4 linked regions of the Caenorhabditis elegans genome follow. The protein of the gene in region 2 purifies or fractionates together with the protein of the main gene of each other region. This does not show direct contact. Each region holds a gene or a part of one and is shown on either strand. Other genes may lie near its edges.

What was found.
Region 1: the proteins of C23G10.2 (region 2) and K07E3.4 fractionate together in Caenorhabditis elegans (co-fractionation; one large-scale study listed by BioGRID). This does not show direct contact.
Region 3: the proteins of C23G10.2 (region 2) and tpi-1 fractionate together in Caenorhabditis elegans (co-fractionation; one large-scale study listed by BioGRID). This does not show direct contact.
Region 4: the proteins of C23G10.2 (region 2) and asp-14 fractionate together in Caenorhabditis elegans (co-fractionation; one large-scale study listed by BioGRID). This does not show direct contact.

What each region holds. Positions count from the first base shown.
Region 1 is NC_003284.9:8,079,787-8,086,516, forward strand, and holds K07E3.4 (formate--tetrahydrofolate ligase), read right to left. Parts: upstream 4,233-6,730; 5' UTR 4,118-4,232; coding exon 4,115-4,117; intron 3,617-4,114; exon of another isoform or gene 3,561-3,616; coding exon of another isoform or gene 3,558-3,560; intron 3,496-3,557; coding exon 3,397-3,495; intron 3,348-3,396; coding exon 2,891-3,347; intron 2,832-2,890; coding exon 2,578-2,831; intron 2,526-2,577; coding exon 1,577-2,525; intron 1,390-1,576; coding exon 1,229-1,389; 3' UTR 1,083-1,228; downstream 1-1,082. Other genes in the region: C46F2.1 (uncharacterized protein), read left to right, coding at 1-100; dao-3 (C-1-tetrahydrofolate synthase, cytoplasmic), read right to left, coding at 4,627-4,644, 4,994-5,211, 5,677-6,055, 6,178-6,351, 6,641-6,730.
Region 2 is NC_003281.10:6,206,059-6,210,444, reverse strand, and holds C23G10.2 (RutC family protein C23G10.2), read right to left. Parts: upstream 2,382-4,386; 5' UTR 2,257-2,381; coding exon of another isoform or gene 2,255-2,256; 5' UTR 2,215-2,254; coding exon 2,132-2,214; intron 2,033-2,131; coding exon 1,946-2,032; intron 1,855-1,945; coding exon 1,697-1,854; intron 1,583-1,696; coding exon 1,476-1,582; intron 1,430-1,475; coding exon 1,349-1,429; 3' UTR 1,305-1,348; downstream 1-1,304. Other genes in the region: Serine/threonine-protein phosphatase C23G10.1, read right to left, coding at 820-1,161; rps-3 (Small ribosomal subunit protein uS3), read right to left, coding at 2,515-2,714, 2,885-3,017, 3,117-3,266, 3,312-3,452, 3,501-3,620; sna-3 (NADAR domain-containing protein), read left to right, coding at 4,242-4,330, 4,379-4,386.
Region 3 is NC_003280.10:12,035,521-12,041,234, forward strand, and holds tpi-1 (Triosephosphate isomerase), read right to left. Parts: upstream 3,620-5,714; 5' UTR 3,613-3,619; coding exon 3,295-3,612; intron 3,072-3,294; coding exon 2,970-3,071; intron 2,058-2,969; coding exon 1,734-2,057; 3' UTR 1,315-1,733; downstream 1-1,314. Other genes in the region: cyn-16 (Spliceosome-associated protein CWC27 homolog), read right to left, coding at 1,174-1,215. UniProt on the Caenorhabditis elegans protein: Triosephosphate isomerase is an extremely efficient metabolic enzyme that catalyzes the interconversion between dihydroxyacetone phosphate (DHAP) and D-glyceraldehyde-3-phosphate (G3P) in glycolysis and gluconeogenesis.
Region 4 is NC_003284.9:6,443,061-6,448,808, reverse strand, and holds asp-14 (Peptidase A1 domain-containing protein), read left to right. Parts: upstream 1-2,144; 5' UTR 2,145-2,202; coding exon 2,203-2,299; intron 2,300-3,114; coding exon 3,115-3,243; intron 3,244-3,508; coding exon 3,509-3,645; intron 3,646-3,691; coding exon 3,692-4,087; intron 4,088-4,132; coding exon 4,133-4,292; intron 4,293-4,347; coding exon 4,348-4,432; intron 4,433-4,480; coding exon 4,481-4,577; 3' UTR 4,578-4,624; downstream 4,625-5,748. Other genes in the region: fah-1 (Fumarylacetoacetase), read left to right, coding at 37-263, 757-1,001, 1,048-1,203, 1,329-1,582, 1,687-1,977; K10C2.7 (uncharacterized protein), read left to right, coding at 5,376-5,540, 5,585-5,707.

The sequences.
Region 1 (6,730 bases), on a different chromosome or scaffold from region 2:
CAAATCGCTCAACCTTCTTTCATTACCACACAAAAAAGATTGCACATGGACTAGTTTTCTTGATTTCTGGCCAATCAACAAATTAATTTATTCCGATTAAGCCAAGAAAAACTTGTTCAAACTCTTGTAACTGCAATAAGCCAATAATAACACTTTAATTGTATAAAGGAGGATGTCATATTATGAGAAACCCAAATAATACATTTCATCTGGTATATCTTAAATGTTCAATTTCTTTGCTTCATTCACAATTCCAAAAATGATTTATACTTGTTTGACAATTGTTCTGTCAGTCTACCACTTCCCATTTCCCCTATTAAATCCTGTAGCATTGCTACAACTGTTTCTTGCCAAAAACTTTTCAGCTATTATTTCATGTACTTTATTTTTATTCTTATTTTTACTCCTGCTGTGCCACTTTGTATGAAATGATTTCAACAAATAATTTTTTTCAGAATCATAAATTTCAGCATTTAAAGAAACAAACATGTCAGGCTACACGAAGGAAGAAAAAGTAAAAGTGCATTAGAAGATTTTATACTTGTTTTTTTAATCTTCAATGAAGCAACAGACATCTCAATTAAAAGCTTTTAAAAAATGTCAAAGGAAATTGCCAGAAAAACTAAAAATCTAAGTTTTTCAATACTAAATCCCCTTTTTCAAATATTTTCGAGCTAACTTACTTGCTACGATTTTCAACAAATAAGTATCTGTAAAAAAGTTTTGCATTGTCTTTTTTGATAGGAAGATATAAAAACAACAATGCAATTTCCATGTCAAAAATAATATGCATGGTCTTGATACAAACTGCAAAAAAAATTATTAAAAAAAAAGCATTACTACCCAAACTATTATATCCCGTTTTTAAGTAGAAATACTGAATAACCAATTTTTGGAAAAATGTATCATAGTTATGATACACAGATATTGTGTTGAGCTGATGAAAAAGTAATTGAATCCAGCAAATTTCAATTTCATAGCCAATCAACTGCTATGATCATATGATGACGTGACAACAGGAAAAACCGGGTTTTTTCTGAAATAACAGGTTTTCGGCAAATATGTCCTGGCAGACAGAAATATTTTTTTTAATTCAATTTTATTGGTCTTCAAAAAATATGCTCTTATATACTCTTTTTATTTACAATTTCAGTATTAAATTCTTATATAAAATCACAATGTTACGCATATCACAAATAATCTGTAGAAAGAAGTATGAAAGCATTGTTTAGAATAGCCCATCAATGATCTCAGTGACTGGGTCAATGGTGATGTCGTAGAAGCACGGACGAGTGTTGAGTCCTGGCATTGTGGTCATTTCACCAACCAATGGGTAAATGAATCCAGCTCCAACGGATGCACGCACGTCGCGAATCGGAAGTGTGAAACCTACAAAAACTCTATCTTGATTTGAAAATAGTTGTTTGAATAGTTTGGTAGGAAATTGTTTATGCATAGTCAATATCGAGTTTCATTAACCAATCATAATGTTGAACTTTTAGTACCTAAACTATAAACATTAAAACATCAACAGAGTGTTTATAATTGACCGGTATCTAATAATTTGATTTCTTACCAGTTGGAGCACCCTTCTTTGTTGGGTCTGATGAAAGGGACAAATGAGTTTTTGCCATACAAATTGGCAACTTCGAGAATCCCTGTCTTGTGTATCTTTCCAATTTCTGTTTGGCCTCGTCAGATAGTTCAATGCCATCAGCACCATAGATTTCTTTGGCGATAGTAGCGATCTTGTCTTCCAATGACAAATCCAGGTTGTAAAGGAATTTGAATTGCTTTGGATGTCCAGTTGTAGCATTGACCAGAGAATTGGCGAGAGCAACCGCACCAGCGCCTCCTTGTGACCAGTGTTCGGAAACCACTGCATCAAATGCTCCGTATTCCTTGGCCTTGGAGCAAACAAGTTCCAACTCCTTGTCGGTATCGGTTGCGAACTTGTTCACGCAGACAACAACAGGGATTCCAAATTTGTTTGCATTCTCAATCTGCTTTCTAAGATTTGAATCGCATCCTCCTTCAACAAGTGGAATGTTTTCGTCAAGGTATTCGTGTTTCAGTGGAGCTCCTGCTACAACAGATGGACCACCTCCATGCATCTTAAGAGCTCTTACAGTTGCTACAAGGACAACTGCTGATGGCTGAAGTCCCGAGTAACGGCACTTGATGTTGAAGAACTTCTCCATTCCGATATCGGCTCCGAATCCAGCTTCAGTGATCACAAATCCGTCGGGTCCGGCAAGTTTCAAAGCAACCTTGTCAGCAAGAATACTGCTTTGTCCATGTGCAATATTAGCGAAGGGTCCGGCATGGACAAAAACCGGAGTACCCTCCAAAGTTTGCATCAGGTTTGGGCGAACGGTGTCTCGCATAAGAACTGTCAAAGCCCCAGTTACTCCAATATCATCAGCGGTTACTGGATTGCCAGCCTTGTCGGATCCGATCACAATTCGTGCAATTCTTTCTTGCATATCAGCGAGAGAAGTTGTCAACGCAAGAATCGCCATGAGCTACAAATAAGAATTAATAAATTAAAATTGCCATGAAATTGTTTTGACTAACCTCACTAGCAACAGTAATATCAAACTGAGTAGTTCGGGTGTGTCCCTTCTCATTCGGTCCCATTCCAATTTCAATCTTTCTTAAGAATCTATCGTTCGTATCCATCACACGGTTCCAGGTGATAGTTGCAGGATCTATGTTGAGACGAGCAAAGCTAACTCTCTGCTCTTCGCTAAGATTTTCAGCATCATCTACACGTGGGATTCCAAGACGGTCGAGGCGACGAAGTTGGATCTCCGAAAGTGGGCGGACTCCTGAAAAGTAAGTATTAATGTATTTATTTCTATGCCATAAAAAGGGACTTCAAACAAACCCTTCTTGTTCTTTGGTGCCAATCTGTTGAATAGTGCATCAGTTGCTTGGGTTGACTCATGGAACATTCTAGCATCGATTGCAGCAGCAAGAAGATTATTGGCTGCAGTAATTGCATGGATATCTCCTGTCAAATGAAGATTGAACTCCTCCATCGGAATAACCTGAGAGTATCCTCCTCCAGCAGCTCCTCCTTTAATTCCAAACGTTGGTCCTTGCGATGGCTGGCGTACACATGCGAACACCTTTTTGTGAAGATGAGCTCCGAGAGCTTGAACTAGTCCGATTGTCGTTGTGGATTTTCCTTCTCCAAGAGGTGTTGGCGTAATACCAGCAACTACAACGTACTTTCCATTTTTAACCTCGCTCAGTCTATCCAAAATGTCAAGAGAAACCTTTGCCTTCTTGCGTCCATAAAGGTCAAGCTCTTCTTGTTTGATTCCAATTTCCCCAGCTACCTGAAAATAATGAAGATAAGTTTTTTTTAAATTAAATATTCTTGAGTGCCTTTTCGATGTCCTTTGGTGGTTGAGCTCTCGAAATAGCAATATCCGATGGAACAGGAGTTAACAGGGTGGGCTTCAAGTATTCAACATTCCATGTGCTCTGAAATAAAAAATAATTCAACGAAATTATAATGTTTGATTTGGAACATTTAATCGAATTACCATTCGGTCAAATTTGCGGCGCAAGCAGCGTGAAAAATTGAAAATTGAAGTTGATGAAAAGATAGAAATTGTGACTTAAATGTTTATGGGAACTTCGATCAAAAATTCTTATTTTTTTATATTTTGATTCTTATCAATCAATAAAATAGATTGACAATAGTGATAATGTTGCAATTCGCAACTTGACTTTAAAAAACGATAAAACGCACGGACAGGTTTATCAGAAGAAAGTAACATATTTTAGGTTTTCCAGAAATGTATGACAACATATCAAACTGGGACATATTAAGTTTTTATTAGTCAACATAAACAAAAAAGACGCTTTTTCAAGATTAATTTCTATGTACATATTAATTTAACAGATAATACTCTTTTTTTTATCTTCAGACTCTTTTTTTTTTTGAAAATGTATTTTTACAGTGTGGAGTTATTATACACAAGTTCTGTTTTTTTTGCTCACGCTCAAAACATGAACAAATTATTTTTGTTATTTTTGGAGTTTTCAAAATTGCATTTTCCGTTTAAAAATCAAATCCCAAAACGTTAGTGTTACTTACCATGTTTCACAATTCAAGAGAAACCAATGAATCAACGAAAATAAAAAGCGAGTGATTCAAACAACTGCAGAGCGATGGCCACTAAATACAAACACCTTGATAAGGCAGTGGGCAGAACAAGTAATCGAGTCAGTATCAGATATTAGGAGACGCACAGAAAACATGCACGGGGGGCATTTGCCGGGTCTGCCTTATTGATCGCGTCCTCTGATTTGTTCGATGTTGCGTCGCTCTCGTGCATCTAAACATCTAAACTAACCACGTGCATTTATCGCGAGACCATGGTCTTTTTACAAATCAGGGCTAATTGTGTCCTTGGTCATTGTTTATTTCGGTGGAAAGTGACAATAAAAAGAAAATACAAATTGAAAAGATTAGATTAAAAAAAGGTATGAAGAGGACTTCAAGTTCCAGAACGTCACAACAAATTTTAAAGAGTAAAAAGTCAAACCAAAAAGCACATTATAAATAGTTCATTCGCAAATGATGTGGTGGAAGTGGGTGCTTGAAGTTCACTCATCATCGTCATCCTGAAAAGTAGGTTCTGTGAAATACAACACTTACAAATATTTTTAACATATTTTCAATCGATTTTGTGTGAGGCACACTATAGTTGCAGAACAACTTTACATTCGGTGTAAATAATGAAGACAATGTCCATGAAATTTGCTTGTTTCGTAGAGTTTATCGCTCAATGAATTTTTGAAGTTCTTTGAGTCGATAACGTGCTATCGGTGTCTTTTGTAATTTTTGAAATAAACTCTGGTGCATCAGTATCAACCCCACACGCAAAACAAACTGTTTGGCACTATCCACGCTTAGGCCAGAACATCAAAAAACCTGCACAAACTTAGTGTCGCAAAAGGAAAGCTATTTTACCTTTTGTCCAAGACGTCGTCTCTTAGCCTGCTCAAATGTGTTACGGATGAGCATGGCAACAGTCATTGGTCCAACGCCTCCGGGGACAGGTGTGAGGAATCCGGCGACTTCCTTTGCGGCTTCTGTGTCAACATCTCCGTAAATTTTGCGTGAGTTTGGGTCGTCACCAACGTTGATTCCACAGTCGATGACGAATGCGCCAGGCTTGATCCAATCAGCTGAAATATATGCTTTTATTTGTAAAAAACGCTGACACTTATCAGAACAGAGAGTCTGTTTCTATTTGATGCAAAACAATTCAGAAGTTGCAAACAGTCAGGTGCATACTAAACATTGATAGTTCTTAAATTGGGGTTTCTATTATAGATATTTTGCATAATTTAATGACTTACAAACTTTTAGGTTAGCAAGTAAATACCGTGCTGCTCATATAAAGGTCTACTCGTAATAACTTTTGCCAAGATTCTTCTTTTAAATGGATTTGGGCGTAATTATGAAAAAAGCAACGCGAAATTTGTTCAATGATGAATTCCAAAAAATCAGGATATAAAAACTTTCACTATTTTACTATAGTCAGATCTCAGCTCGGAATAACCACGTTTGCTGAAGTTGAAATCAATCTTTTGATATCTGTATGGCCAGTACTGTGCACTATCTCAAATTTAGGTTTATTGATAATCTACCTTTGACGAAATGTTTTCTCCCAATTGCCACAATCAAAATATCTGCTCTCAGGCATTTCTCCTTGAGATTTGGAGTTTTTGAGTGGCAGATTGTCACAGTTCCATGATGCCACAAGAAAAGCGCAGCGGCTGGAGATCCGACAATTTTCGAGCGTCCCAAAACAACCACCTCCTTTCCAGACACAAAGTTGGCATCACCAGTTGCCTGTTGAACCAAGTACAAGCATCCAAACGGAGTGCAAGGAAAGATCGTACGCTGGAGTTCTCCACGAGCCAAACGTCCAGCATTGATACGAGTCAGTCCATCGACATCTTTCAATGGGTCAATCAAGTCGATAACAGAGTCTGCGTCGATTTCGTGCTTGCAGTCCAGTGGAAGCTGAAATTAATAACTTGCTATTATTGTTTAGCTTCCGATGTTTTTTTTTAATTAACTGAGATGTGTTTTTTTTCCGTTATAAGTTAACATTTCAATATTACAACTTAATCCGTTATATTAACCTGAATGATAATTCCGTCAATCTCGTTGTCATGATTAAGAGCCATAATCTCTCGCTTCAAATCTCCTTGAGTGATGGTGTCTGGCAACTTAATGAGTTTTCCATCTGCTCCGATTTCCTTTGCTTTTTTCAGTTTGGAATTAATGTACACATTGGAGTCTGAACGATTTCCAACCTGCAAATTTTGAGACTTTGAGTTATTCAGTATAACAGATATCCCCTCGGATATTATTTGTCTTGTTACGAAATAAAAGCCGGTATCTCAAAAGTACACCACAACTACAAATTACGCTCTGCAAAACTTTCAAAATCTGTTTTGTAAGTATGCAATGCACTTATGTACGTCATGAACTCAAAACACAGATTGGACAGAGATTTTCATTTTCATATATTCAATTTAGAAATATTATTAAGTTAATAGCAATGCTTGAAATAAAATTATTATCAGTGGTAAGCTTTCATACCTGAACAATTGCCAATACTGCATGAAAATTTGGGTGGTGCTCACGGGTTTTTGCGATTTTCTGTCCGACATCGTGAAGAACCTTTTTTGA
Region 2 (4,386 bases):
TATAATAGCTATTATGTACACGGAGACTCCAAGGGTGGCAAATGATGCTGAAAATTATGGTAGCGTATATCCGGTCATTTTCTGGGTTCCGCGCCTCACTGTGAAATGTGGGGACTATGTGGGCGTGGCTAAAGGAAGGGAATCCGGATGCCAAAAATCCGGATACCCGGACGTCTGGCAGTCCGGATGGCCAGCTCTAAGGAAAACATTGCAACGAAGCGCTCCGATAGTTTTAGTTTTACATTTAGCTATTCTCCAGAAAATAATCAAAGAATAAGTTTATTACACAGAATTTAAAAAAAAAACAGAAGTTCTCAACACTTTGCGAACAAGAACAGTCCTCAGGTCTCATCATCTTGTCCAGTGTCTCTGGGCTTCGATAGAGTGTCGGGACGTTTGCGTCGTCCACACGTACCCACTGATCTTTTTGTATGTGATCCACTTTCCAAAATTGAGCCACGTCTACATGGAGACTCCACGGGTGGCAAATGATGCTGGGCACTCTTTTAATCATTGGACTTATGGTAGCGTACATATATCCCGACATTTTCTGGGTCCCGCGTATCACTCTGAAATTCCTGCGTTTCTATAGTAAGCGGCAGAGCCCAGAAACTGTCGGGATGTACGCTCCCATAAGTCCATTAATAAAAAAAAACTGCCAGCATCATTTGCCACCCGTGGGTCTCTATGTGGGCGTGGCTAAATGTTGGAAAGTCGTGTCCGGATGTCGCAGTCCGGATGGTCAGCTCTACGATAAATATGTACACCGGTTTTATCAGTTAATAAGTTATAACTTTTATATTAATATCTATTACTCACTTTGATAAGACATTTCAAAGCAACCAAGAGTGGATGGGGGCCATCCTTGAGTGCTTCATTGCTGAACATCTCCCGCAAACGACTGACATCCTTCGGCCCTGGTTTCCCGTTGAATATTTGTTGCAGTTCCTTGTGCATCAACATCTTCTGTTTTCCTTTCTGCCAATCTCCTTTGAAATGATCGTGGAAATTGGCTCTTTTCAGCATCTGGAGGATGATATTGAGGAAGCACGATGTTCCGTCATTGATCAGTTGCGGGCAAGTTGGCATGGGGATCGGATCGGGATAAACAGTCTTCGTGCAATCATCGGCGACTTCTGGGACTCTCGTCTTCTTCGACATTGTATCACTTTTTTGTCAAACTCTAAGTTTGCAAAAATAAAATGAATGAAGAACGATAATGTTCACTTCAAATTTTTTGAAAATTGGGAATAAATAAATTTTATTTCCATCGAGAAAAAAATTAGAACATCAATGCCACGTTTGGAAAATAAAACTTTATTGTTTTTACATAAAATCACATTAATTTTTAATTTTTAACTTCCTCGATTTCTCCAGCAATCGCGACGGCTTCAATCTCGACAAGTCCGCCTTTTGGAAGCGCGGCAACCTGAAAATTTTTGATTTAACTTTGCAATACGAATTTTTTCACTTACTTGATAAGCAGCACGAGCTGGATATGGAGACTTGAAATATTGTCCGTAGACCTCATTGACGGCAGCAAAATCAGCAATATTTTGAAGAAGAACTGTGGTTTTGACGACTGAAATTTTAAAATATTAAAGTTTTGCCATGTGGCACGGAAATATCAAAATGTGTTTTTTTAAGTTAAAAAATTAAGTTTTTTATGTTCTAAATCTTTTATTTTAAATCTCACCGTTTCCATAATCAGCTCCAGCTGCCTTAAGAACTTCTCCGAGATTTTTGAGACTTTGATGAGTTTGCTCAACGACGCCCTCCTTCAAATCTCCAGTTTTTGGATCCAAGCCAAGAGATCCGGAAAGGTAGATGGTATTTCCGGCACGAACGGCTTGACTGAAATTTTTTAATATTATATGAATACTTTTGTTGATTGCTTATTTTCAGAGGAATGTTGTGGTAGAAAATAATATAATTTCTTGAATACCTGTATGGTCCGATAGCTCCTGGAGCATTTGCGGAGCTGATGATTTGACGGGTCACTTTTTGAGCCATGTCGAGCACTTTGGTTCTCCTGAACAGTTGTATTAGTCAGTTTTCTTTAGAAATAAGATTGAAAATAAATGAAAAAGTTGACAAAATGCCTCCACCACCACATTTTCTACCAACTAACTTGACCGCATCTTGCTCTGAAGTCTCCTCTGCGCCTGTTTCAGACCGTTTAAGCGCATTTGCAACTGGTGGAAGCATCGGCATTGTTAGAACGGCAAGAAGAACCGAAAAAGAGAAGACGTACATTTTTGAAGGGGTTAAAAGTTGCAAAGAGGAGAAATGAAATGAAACGAAATGAAGAGAAGCGCGACGATATGAGACACCGAGGTCACCCTTATCACCGGCGTGTCGCGTTTATGTAATTGGGGGTTCTGCAACGAAACAGTTTCCTAGACTCCTCCCTTTCGATTTTTGAAAGTACGTTGATTGTAAACTTTAAATATCATTACACTGAAAATAACGAGTAACAATTAACCAACAATTTATTGGGTATGTAACAACAGTTTATTGAACTGGAGCAACTGGTTGAGCTGCTGGGACTTGAACATCCTTCTTCTCCTCCTTGTGCTGGCTGTGTGGTTCCTTTGGAAGGACTTCCTCTTGTGGCTCGACGATTTGGACGTGGTCTGGGAGGGCGTTTCTTGGTCCGTTCTGTCCGCGTGGGTCGTATGGAAGCATGATCTTGACCTTGATACCGATGACTCCTGAAAATAAAAAAATGAAGATGGAAACTTACAAAATAGTAATACAAATTTTTAAACTTGATTTTTAAAATTAAAAAACTGAAAAGCAACATCTAAACTTTTCGAACGACATGTTTTTTGCGATCAAAAATCCTTTCTTAACCAAATCTTCCCCGTAAAAAATCACTGACCCTGACGGAGTTGAACGTGTCTGACGGCTTGTTGGATGTAGTCGTTGACTGGGTGTCCAGAGTGAATCATGAGTCCATCAACGAACTTCATGGCCTTAGCACGCTGTCCACGAAGCTTTCCAGAGACGATAACCTATAATTTTTAATGAATACAAATTCCATATAATACAAGTTTCGAATATTAGATGCAATAAAGTTAAATTTTTTGTCTATTAAAATAAAGTAATCATACCTCAACTCCTTGAGCTCCAGACTCCATGATGAAACGGAGAACTCCGTAGCAAGCACGACGGACGGCAAGACCTCCGACGAGCTTGTATCTGAGGGATTCGCACTGAGCGACAGCGCAGAGTCCTCTGTTGGAAACCTTCTCGGCGTAGAGCTAAAAAGTTAAATGTATTTTATTTTTCAATAAATGTATTTTTACCTCGACGGATCCCTCCTCGAATCCGAATCTCTTTTGGACAACCGAGGTGAGCTCCTTAATTCTGCGTCCTCGCTCTCCCAAAACGTTTTGGGTGCGGGTCGCCATGATGATGACCTCAGCTCTGGCTGGGGTACTGCGAACCTGCAAAACTTGAAGCTTAAATGCTATATTTTTGATTAATAATTTTACCTCGACTCCGGAGTATCCATCCTCAGCAAGCTCCTTCATCAGGAAGTTGTTAAGCTCAGCCTTGAAGATTCCGCCGATGACGGCCTTCTTCTTCTTGGTCACGTTTTGATTGGCAGCCATGTTGCCCACTGTTTGACGAAAGCTGAAAATTTGAATATTAATATTAGCGAAGATATTGATAGAAAAGAGTTATAATCCGAACAAAACACAAGAAATATATTTGAAAAAAAAGTATTTTGGGCAAGGTTTTTGTTAAGAAAACCCTAAATTACGTAACTAAAAACTACATTAATATAAAAACATGTTTTAATACAAAATATACATTGAAACATGTGAATTTTTTCAATTTTTATACAAAACATGTTAAAAATCCAGTTTCACGCGAAAAATTCAAAAATTTCAGGCAAAAATCGAAAAGAAATTTAGTTGCTTTCAACGTTTATCGTTGAAGCGTTGAATACTCAGTCAACGGCCAGGCCAATTGGCTGCGTACGTCACCGCAAGACCATGAGACCGAAAAATGGCATGCGCCTTTAATTGCCTCTTTTTTACCCTAGTCACCGAACGAATTTTTTGAATAATTTCTTCGAAGTTGAACAGTTTTCTTTATTTTTACCAGTTTTTTAATTCTGAACATCTCATTTTCTTTTGAAGTTTGCACTAGTTGTTTGAACTGCTTTGCCTGGTGATTAATCAACTATTTATTGATTTCTTTCTCAATTCCGTTTTTAAGGATCAAACATGGATGAAGAGAAAATTGTGTTAATTGGAAATGAATCAGATCTCCTACACTGTGGATACAATTTTGCACTTAGAGCTGGCGGAAAAAGGTGAGAACTGAAGTGACTTATAGATTGCAACAATGATTAAACTTGCAGATATCCCA
Region 3 (5,714 bases), on a different chromosome or scaffold from region 2:
TCAAAATTTTGGGATTTTCGCGCCAAAACTACAGTACCTAGGGTATCGACACGAATTTTTATTATTGCTAATTGAGATACGTGTGCGCCTTTAAAGATTACTGTAATTTTATTTTAAAGTTTGCAACTACAGCTCTTTAAAGGCGCACACCTTTTCGCAATCAAAAATTTTTTGTCGTGTCGAGACCCTAGGTACCGTAGTTTGGGCTCGAAAATCGCAAAATTTGTCATATTTTTGCGATTTTTCATCTAAAAATTGACAACTTTTTAAAAATTCGGATATTTAATTTTTAAAAAGGAGTAAAATATGACGAAATCTGCAATTTTCGCGCCAAAACAACGGTACATAGGGTCTCGAAGCGACATATTTTTGTTTAAAAATGTGCGCTTTTAAAGATTACTGTACATTCGAATTTTCATCAATTTTTCATAGTAAACTGTAGTTTTTGGATAAAAAATTTTCGAATTTTTATCGATTTTTTGATTAAAAAAATGTTCAAGACTACAGTACTCTTTTTAAAGGCGCACACCTTTTTGCAGTTAACAAAAAGTCGTCGTGTCGAGACCATAGATACCGTATTTTTGGCGCGAAAAGCGCAAAATTCGTCATATTTTTTCGATTTTTCCTCTAAAAATTGACAAATTTCAAAAAATTCGGATATTTAATTTAAAAAAAAGAGAAAAATATGACGAATTCTGCGATTTTCGCGCCAAAACTACGGTACCTAGGGTCTCGAAGCGACACATTTTTGTTAAAAAGATGTGCGCCTTTAAAGATTACTGTAGTCTCGAATTTTTATAGATTTTTTGATTAAAAAAATGTTCAAGACTACAGTACTCTTTAAAGGCGCACACCTCTTTGCAATAAACAAAAATTGTCGTGTCGAGACCAGGAAACGTAGTTTTGGCGCAAAAAGTGCAAAATTGGTCGTATTTTTCAATAAATTATCCAAAATTTTTCGAAATTAGCCAATTTTTAGATAAAAAAAACTCAAAATTTTCGTTTTACAGCTTAAAAATTGCAAAAATACGCGAATTTTTCATCGGAAAAATCGAAAATTTCACTGGATTTTCGATTTTTATTCAAAAATCGATAAAAATTGAAATTTTCGGTCATTTTTTCTGGAAAATTCAATTTTTTCCACCAAAAATCGATAAAAATCAATAATTTTACCTTTCCCGTCGTAATCGGCTCGTTGATATATTGATTACTCATCTGAAAACTGAAAATTTTCCGCAAAAATCTGAAAATCGCCGGCTGAAATATTCACACAGAACAAGTAACTATTGTTTGAAAATATCGATTTTTTGTTATTTGTCGGCAAGAAATTTATTTATATAAATATATATAGGTTTTGAATATCAAAAATACTGGAAAAAAAAGCTGCTACTAATATCTACACTGTAGAGAGGAAAAAGCCAAATTTCAAGCCAAAAAATTCACGAATTCACCCAAATTTTGGATTTTTTTCGGTCAAAATTCCGGGAAAATTGATGAAAATCAGCTAATTTTACAATATAATTTAGAGGAAATCTGGGGGAAAATTGGGGAAAACTAAGGGAAATTCTACAATTTTGAAGCTGAAATTCCGGGAAAAATCAGCTAATTTTACGGCTAAAAATTAGGGGAATCAATGAAAATCAACCAATTTTACGACCAAAATTTAGGGGAATCGGTGAAAAATCAGTGGAAATCCGGAAAAATCTGTGAAATAGGGGGAAATAAATAATAATTTAAGATCTGGCGTTGATAATCTTGACAAAATCGGGTTTCAACGATGCTCCACCGACCAAGAATCCATCGATATCCGGCTTCTTTCCAAGCTCAGCCGCATTGTCAGCAGTCACAGATCCTCCATAAATGATTCTCGTGGCATCGGCGACAGCTGGTGAGACCTTCTCTTTGAGGAATGCACGGATCCATTCATGAACCTCCTGGGCTTGTTCTCCAGAAGCAGTCTTTCCGGTTCCGATGGCCCAAACTGGTTCGTAGGCGATCACAATGTTCTCCCAGCTGACACCCTTGTCGACGATGGCTTGAAGTTGACGGAAGTTTACCTGGAAATTGGAAAATTTGGGTCTCGAAGCGATCGATTTTTGAAATTTATTTTTCTACAACATTAAAAAAAATCTTTATTTATAAGGAATTGGGTATTATTTTTCAGGAATTTTTTGTTTCAAATTTTATCGATTTTTCGAAAATTTTATATTCTTCGGGATTCTTTTTTTTTTTTGAATTTTTCGCGTTTTTGGGAATTTAAATTTGTATTTTTATATAAATTTCACGAAAATTCATTAAAAAATCGGGTCTCGAAGCGATTATTTTTGAACTTTTTTTGTTTTACCACGTGGAATAGGGAATTTAATCGATTTTTCGAAGATTTTTAAATAAAAATGTTTCTTCGGAGATTTTTTTTTGAACTTTTCTGCAAAATTCAAGAAAATTCATAAGAAATCGGGTCTCGAAACGACTATTTCAGGAGTTTTTTCTTTTTTATTGCCGGAACCAATTTTTTTGTTGAAAATTTGGCAAAAAAAAAAAGAATTATTTTTGGCGACCATTTTTTGTTGGAATTTTCCGCTTTTTTGGAAAATGATAAAATTAAATGTTTTCTGTTCAAAATTCACGAAAATTCATAAAAATCGGGTCTCGAAGCGATTATTTCTAATATTCGTTGCAGAAAGAGAAATATTGCGTTTTTTTTGAGGAAAAATTGAGCTCAAAACTATAAAATTCAGGGATTTTTTAAGAAGAAACTTTGAAAAATTCCCGAAAAACGTGCAAATTCGAAACAAAACCATTTTGGAATTTTCAAAAAATCTCAAAAACTTGATTTTTCTACTGAAATATTAGAAGAAATCGATTTTCTACCCGAAAAAATTAAGAAAAAAAATCTGAAAGTTTGAAAATGTTGAATTTTCAAATTTTCTTGCGAAAAATCGATAATTTCCAGTATTTTGCTCCCTTACATCCTTGGTGTGTCCGGCTTCACGCTCCTCGAGCTTCTCCCCAATGCAGAAAACGACCTTAATTCCAGCCTCGAGAGCATGCACGGTCTTCTCAGCGATCAGCTGAAAAAGAAATTTCAGATTAATTTCCCTGAAACTCGAATTTTTTATTGACACTTGGTGTCAGGCTGTCTCATTGCGGTTTGATCTACAAAAAATGCGGGAATTTTTCTGCCAGAAAAATGTGACGTCAGCACACTCTTGCGAAATCAGTGGAAAAGTCTGCGTCTCGAGAAGATCTTTTCCCGAATTTTTCGAAGATCAAATCAAAATGTATTAAACTAACAGCATCGCTTTCTCCAAAGACATGACGACGTTCCGAGTGTCCGAGGATCACCCATTCCAATCCAAGATCCTTGATCATTGCCGGCGAAATTTCCCCGGTGAATGCTCCCTTTGGCACTTTGTAGCAGTTTTGTGCGGCGACAAGCACACCGGCTTTAAGCTTGGATTTAGCGTAGGCCAGATATGGAGCTGGTGGAGCAACGACGACATCAACGGAGGAATTGTCGGCTGAGGCGTTGAGGAAGGTGACGATACCATCGACGGAGGCATAGTCTCCGTTCATCTTCCAGTTTCCTCCGACGAAGAACTTGCGAGTCATCTTGATTCTACAAGAATTATGGAATTTTTTTGTTGGAGGGAAATTTGGATAGAAATTCAGAATAAGGAGGAGAAAACGATAGAAGAATTGCTATTCTTTGTGAAACCGAGAGTATCGATTTTCCCGATTTTCTTGCCCTGTATTCTTTTCAAAAAGTGGCTCAAATTTAATTTTTAAAAATGTCGTCTCGAGACCTGGTATGGCTCAAAAATCGTAATATTTCGCCTCTAGCTAATTTAGTATTGATTGGCAAATGTAAGAAAAGTATATAGTTCAGCAAAAACTTAACTATCTAAAGATGGTCTAGTCGAACGTTTTTTATTGTTTAAGTAGTCTCGAAATAGTCTAAAAACACCGAATTTCATAATGAAACTTCTTGAAAACTCCTCCAAAAAGTTATGGCGGCTCAAAAAATTACCTGAAATTAGTTAAAATTTGAAATTTAACCGACTTTTCAAGCGGCTAACTTTTTTGAAATAACCGTCTAATTTTGGGTATACAAGTTAATTTCTTGTTGCAGTTTCAACTCGATTTTGGTACATTTAAGCTCGATGTATCCCCCAGATGTTACCAAATTTAACCAAATCTGGTGACAAATCGACCTCAAATATACCTAAATCGAGTTGAAAACGCAAGATAATTAACTTATATACCCATAATTAGACGATGATTTCAAAAAGTTAGCATCCAGCCGCTTGACAAGACGGTCAAATTTCAAATTTTAACTAATTTCAGGTCATTTTTTGTACCGCCATAACTTTTTTTGAGAAGTTTTCAAGAATTTTCATTATGAAATTCGGTAATTTCAGATAATTTCGAGTCGAACACAAAAGGAATTTTTGCTGAACTATATACCTTTCTTACATTTGCCAATGAATACTAAATTAGCCAGAGGCGAAATTTTACGATTTTTGAGACACACCCGGTCTCGACACGACAAATTTTCATTAAATTCGAGTCACTTTTCGACAAGAATACTGACAAGAAAATCGTGAAAAGTCGATACTCTAGAGTCTAGGCAAAAATTAAAAATGACGCAAATGACTTTCGAAAATCGTGATCAATAGCCAACGTTTGATAAGGACGAGAGATAACAATGGAAAATCGAATTCGACATTGTTTTTTCGAAACAAATTTCAATCGAAATCAAGACTACACAACAAGTGAGATAGCGGGGTTTCTTCGATTTTATTTTTCTTTTTTTTGGCTGGCCAGCAGCAGCAGTCGAGAGAAACGAGACGATACAGTGTAGACAATGAAGAGACGGAGAGAGAAGGCGCAGTCCGAGTTTGCACGTATTTTGTAATGTTCTGAGTAGTGTGTGTGTGTGAATGGCAGAAGAGTGTTTGTGGATAGATTCGATTGGGAAGGGTTATTACGGGAGCACAAAATTCAGAGAATACGTACTGCACAACATATTTGACGCGCAAAATATCTTGTAGCGAAAACTACAGTAATTCTTAAAATGACTACTGTAGTGCTTATGCCGATTTACGGGGCTCGATTTTCAAAATGGATGCTTAGTTTTAATATTCTATTTATTTCAAAAAATCGAGCCCGTAAATCGACACCAGCGTTACAGTAGTCATTTAAAGAGTTACAGTAGTTTTCGCTACGAGATATTTTACGCGTCAAATATGTTGTGCAATACGCATTCTCATAGTATTTTGTTCCAGTAATATATATTTACAGGAAAATATGTTGGAAAACATCAGAAATTACAATGAAATTAAAATCACAGTGATTTTTCAAAAAAACGCTCCGCCCTTTTATTGGTTTTTTGCGTTTACGTCGCAGTTTGGCGAAAACTCGATTTTTTACCAAAACATTAATAAATGGACGGGATTTTTGTGAAATTTTTGAAAAAAAAGTCACTATTTTTAAGTTCAATTTGCAGTAATGCAGCTAAAAATCATTCGAATTTTCTATATATGACGTTTTCGAAAATTTAAATCTTCGCAAAGCACCGCCCATATATTGCCAAACTCCGCCCATTTATTGGTGCTTCTTCATGGTACAATTAAGCATTAAAAATCATACGCTTTTCGAATTTTGAAAACCTTTATCCTACAGATTTATAGTTAAATCCACAGCAGCTTAGA
Region 4 (5,748 bases), on a different chromosome or scaffold from region 2:
TTATTTCTAAAGCAAAATTAAACTAAATATTTTCAGTCTTCCCGCCACATTGGAGTTGCAATTGGAGATCAAATCCTCAACTTGGCAGAAATTGCCAATCTTTTTGACGGACCTCAATTGAAGGCACATCAGGATGTTTTCAAGCAGAGCACATTGAACGCGTTCATGGCACTGCCACGTCCAGCCTGGTTGGAAGCTCGTGCAAGAATCCAACAACTGCTCTCAGAGGATTGTGCTGTTCTTAGGGATAACGCTCATTTGAGGTGAATAAGTTGGCAAAACAAATTTGAAAAAGTTAAAAAGTAGTACAAAGTGTGTCTGATAATCTACTAACCAAATCTAAACAACTATTTCACAAGTTTTAATTTTTATCGTTAGTTTATAATTGCAAAGTTGAATCAATACTGTGCAGCAAGTTGGCAAGTTGAAATGTATATAGAAGTATGTGAAAATGTTCGGTCAATCTGAAAAAAATTATTTTATTGAGAACGCCTGGAAACCCGTCAAAGTTTTTGAAATACTTCATTTGACTTTAAATATATCGTTAAACTTTGTTGGCGACTTGTAGGCATTATTTTTAAAAAAATCTATTTCAAAATCGAGAAAAACCTACATTTTTATATTAATTTTTGATTTATAAATTGAAATCTCATACTGTAATTAGAAGCTTTGTACGTTTTGCGCACAACTTACATATAACTCTGTTTAAAACAACCAAGAAACTTTGTAATAATATTCTTATGTTTTTATTTACAGAAGCCGGGCTCTTGTCGCTCAATCCGATGCTACAATGCACCTTCCAGCTCAAATCGGAGATTACACCGATTTCTACTCCTCCATCCATCACGCCACCAACGTCGGAATCATGTTCCGTGGAAAGGAAAATGCTCTGATGCCAAACTGGAAGTGGCTTCCGGTCGGATACCACGGAAGAGCTTCATCAATCGTTGTATCTGGAACAGACTTGAAAAGACCAGTTGGACAAACTAAGGCCCCAGATGGTAAGATTTAGATTTGCACCAATAATGCAAATGTGTCCGCTTTCAGCTGAGGTTCCATCGTTTGGTCCATCAAAGCTTATGGACTTTGAGCTCGAGATGGCGTTCTTTGTGGGAGGTCCAGAAAATGAATTGGGAACTCGTGTTCCAATCGAGAAGGCTGAGGATCGTATCTTTGGAGTTGTGCTCATGAACGACTGGAGTGGTGAGTAACGATGTTAATTAAATATCAAACAAAAACATTTAAACTCGACATTTTGGTGACAAGAAAATTCAACAGTAGTTATTTTCAAGTTTGCTCCATACTCATCCGAAAAAAAACTTTTCCAGCTCGCGATATCCAAGCTTGGGAATACGTTCCACTCGGCCCATTCCTTGCTAAATCCTTTGCCACAACTGTTTCTCCATGGGTCGTCTCAATTGAAGCTCTTCGTCCATACTTTGTTGAGAATCCAGTACAAGATCCAGTTCCACCAGCATATCTCCATCACGATGACCCATTTACCCTTGACATCAATTTGGCCGTCAGTATCCGTCCAGAAGGAGATGCTGTGGACCATATTGTCTGTAAAACTAACTTCAAGGTATGTTCAAGTTTAGTAGAAACGATATTATCTACACTGTTCACTGTAAATTGGATCATAAACGCTCGTTAAGGTTTTCTCAACTACAATACTGTAATTTCTAGCATTTGTATTGGACTCTAAAACAACAACTTGCTCACCACACCGTCAATGGATGCAACCTCCGCGCTGGAGATCTTTTGGGATCAGGAACTGTATCTGGACCAGAAGAAGGTGCATATGGATCCATGCTCGAGCTTTCGTGGCGCGGAGCCAAAGAAGTTCCAGTTGGCTCAGAAATCCGAAAGTTCTTAAAGGACGGAGATGAGGTCAACCTTTCTGGAGTTTGTGAAAAGAATGGAGTCAGAATTGGTTTCGGAGAGTGCCGCGGAAAAGTCCTGCCAGCCGATATCTAAAATCATCGTAATTAAATCGTTTTGCTTTTTGTTTCATTCTCTCGTTTGTTAGTAGTATCTCGTCGAATAAAGTTCTGAAGCCCACGAAAAGTGATGAAAGTGGAAGTGTGCAGTGTCGAAAATGATAGGGGTTTGTCACGATTTTTTGGTTTCTATGTTATCAGTTCAAAGCATGAGCGAATAAATAGGAGAGCTGGTTGCTTGGAAATCATTCTCAGTTCAATCATGATCAAGACAATCTTGCTTTTGGCCTTTGTGGCCTCGACCTCAGCTTTTGTGATTCCTTTCAAAGTTCATGCTGCAGTTACCAACATTACCAAAGGTGAGTATGAGAATTTACAGATTTGTTTCAGATAAAGTGAAATTTGGTGTTTGTAAATGGAAGCCTTTACAAAATTTAAAATGAACATTTAAGCATTATTTTTGATTTTTTTTTTGAATTATTTTCCGAAGCGTATAAAAATTTCGATCACGTTTGATTGAACATGAACATTTAATGGTACATTAACGTTATATTTTATTCAAAATAGGGATAGACACGTAACTGGGAGTAATAATAGTGGAGAGCGGTAAGTTGTTTTAAGAGCACGTATATATATATCCCGAAGCCACATAAAATGTACAGTGAATGAACAAACATTATTTCCTTTACGACATTGAGTAGAATGTATTTAACTTAGAATAAAGCTTATAACTTACAAACACAATGTTGCGGTTGATTTCCAATTATATATTGGTTGTTTTGAGAATTATGAACTGAAACTTGTGTGGTATGATTTTTCCATCATTTCCAACTATTTGAAAACATTTTATATCAACTTTTAGAAAAAAACTTTTTTTTTTTGATTTTTTTGGAATTTTTAAAAAGGGGTATTTTGGCACTTTCAAAATGTCGTAACTTGATCAAACCTGCTCTGAAGCAGCTAAATTTTTGGAGTGATCATCTGTAACTATTCTCTATCGAATGTATATAGTGGCGTAACGAAGTCCGATAACGAGTTCAGAGCCTTCCCTTGTTAGGAATAATGGTTTTCTAAATCTATTACATTCCACTAGTGAATTGTTTTGTACTGAAAATTACTTTTGGTATATAATACACAAGTTCCTTAGATTTTCAAAACTGAAGTTTAATTCCAGGAGGACAAACTCTGGAGCAAACCTCAACCTTCTTCGTTGCTAACTTGACCATGGGAACACCAGGACAACTTTTCACTGTTGTCATTGACACTTCGACCGCTGACATTGTTATTCCAGATATGAGTTGCAGTGAGTTTCAACCAATCGCTTTCTTGATTGCAATTTGATAGTTTTACGACTTTTAAATGTATAAAACATCTCGAACATAATCACGAAATGATGACAGTTTTTGTCAGCTTTTGCTGACAATTTGCCCTATTATATCGGCACTAAAATCGTTTTTTATGTTGATTATCGGTCAAAGACTATCACTTAGTGCACATAACATTCCTAATTTTGAAAACTCCACACTACTGATAAGAGTGAAAAAGATACAAACTGGAAAATGTTTCAGAGACCGCAAATAATTGCTACAACAAGAGAAGATTCAACCAAGCAAAGTCGTCGTCTTACTATGCATATGGAAATAAGTACACGTACAAGAATAATCTTGGAACTTTCCAAGGATTTGATGCAAAAGACACTGTTGTGGTAATACTTTCAATTTGTTTTTTAAGTCCTAACAATTTTTTTCCAGATCGGAGACCGCAAAACTGATTTGATCACCATTCCAGGCGTGAAGTTTATGCAAGCTACCGACCTCGGACTTTTGATGGATGGATTGGGTGCTGATGGAATTTTGGGATTGGGATTCACAGCCTCATCGCAAATCGGTGGAAACTCACCATTCGTTCAAGGTGTTAACGCTGGAGACATTTCGGGCACATTCTACTCCATCTGGCTCGAGCACTTCAACCAAACTGATGATCTCGGAACCCACGGAGTTATTTACTACGGAGGATTTGATCCAGTGCACTGTGCTCCAAACCCAACATACGTCCCATTGGCTTCTGCATATGCATACCAACTCACGATGTCTTCCTTCAAAGTTGTAGGATCATCCGCCACCAACTCCAACAACAAGTACATTCAAGTGAGTTTATTGCATCTCTTATGTATCAACAAATATAAATTTCAGACTTACCTTGACACCACCACCGCCCAAATTGGACTTCCAAAAACTTACATTAGCCAGGTGTTTGACTCCCTTGGCATCAGCACAAACGTTATGAATGCTATCTACCCAACAATTGTTCCATGTAACACTAAGATCACCCTCACTTTTGGATTTGTTTCTGGTATGTCGATTTCAGTGTACCTTCCACTTGTTTTACATAATTGCTCTATTTTCAGGTACAACAGTCTCAATTACGGAAAGAGATCTTGTTATTAGCTTCTTCGGAACATGTAGACTCCAAATTATTCCAACCACTGATAGGTAAGGAATGATTGAGAAGATGGATTGAATCATGCAAAAATTTTTCAGAATCATTCTCGGTCTTCCATTGTATCGTGGACGTTGCACATATTTCGATCCAATCATGCAAAGAGTCGGGTTCACTCCAGCGCTTCTCCAAGATTAGTGTTAATATTTGAAAGTGGAATAAAAATAAATCATTAAATTTAAAAAGTGCCGTTATGCGGTTCATATTCAGATTCATTTGAGAAATTTCTGAAAACATTGTAAGACTATTGGGATAGTTGGGAATGGGTTTAAGAACATATTTGATAGTATTTCTGATCTACACATAGTAATGTTCTACAAAGTTCTAGAGTGTTTCAAAAACTTTCCCAAACTTTCAGAACGTTTTATATTCTCAAATATACAAAGATTTCGAAGAAAGTATCTTAAACTTTCCAAAACTGATCATTTTCTGAATGTTGAAACGAACTAACTTGCCTACTATGTAGTTAGAAGCAGATTCTACATAGGGCGGTTGGAAGAAGTTAAACATAGTAGGCTAGTTAAAGCATTCGCTGTTGCATGTGCAACCGGTCGGTCCAAATAACGTCAAACAAACAAAAGGGACTAAAAAATTTTTCTATTTAAAAATTATCAGTAGAAATGTTAGTAAAAACATATCATTATTCTGTTCTAAAGCTTATTGGATAATGACTGACGAAGTTTGACTCATTGTATCGAATGATCATTTTTTAATGTAAACATTCACATCTAACAATTACTGTATGGTTGTCATAAAATACAAAATGACATTTTCCATTTAATAAAAAAGATCATCAAACATCACCCGACATATTCAAAACGATTTATTTGTTACATTGTCTGTTTTGTATTGTGACTCAAACTGTCTCATAAATACTGCTTGAAACACATAACTATATAAGAACCTGTCTTGCAACAATTCATTAAAATCTTCACCATGCTAATTATACTTGTTGCGGTTTTTTTAGCTCAAGCTAATGCCAGAGTGGTTGACATAGCAACCGACATTGTGAACATGGCTGCTATAAAAGACCAACTAAATTACGAATGTAAAGACGTAAAGGAGCAAACTCAATTCCAAAATTGCGGCAGCTCATTTTCAGTAAGTTTCCCAGAAAATAAGTTGGTGACAGTAAAATATTTCAGAAAAGTTTGGCGATTATCCAAAACTATCAAAACAACTCAACAAGACAACCAACTCTTCATGAAGAGCTGCTTTCACTTAATAATGTAGTGAGATGGATGTCATTATGTACAAAAAAACAATGAAAATGTGTGTAGTGCACAAATAAAAATTCATGAAATTACCT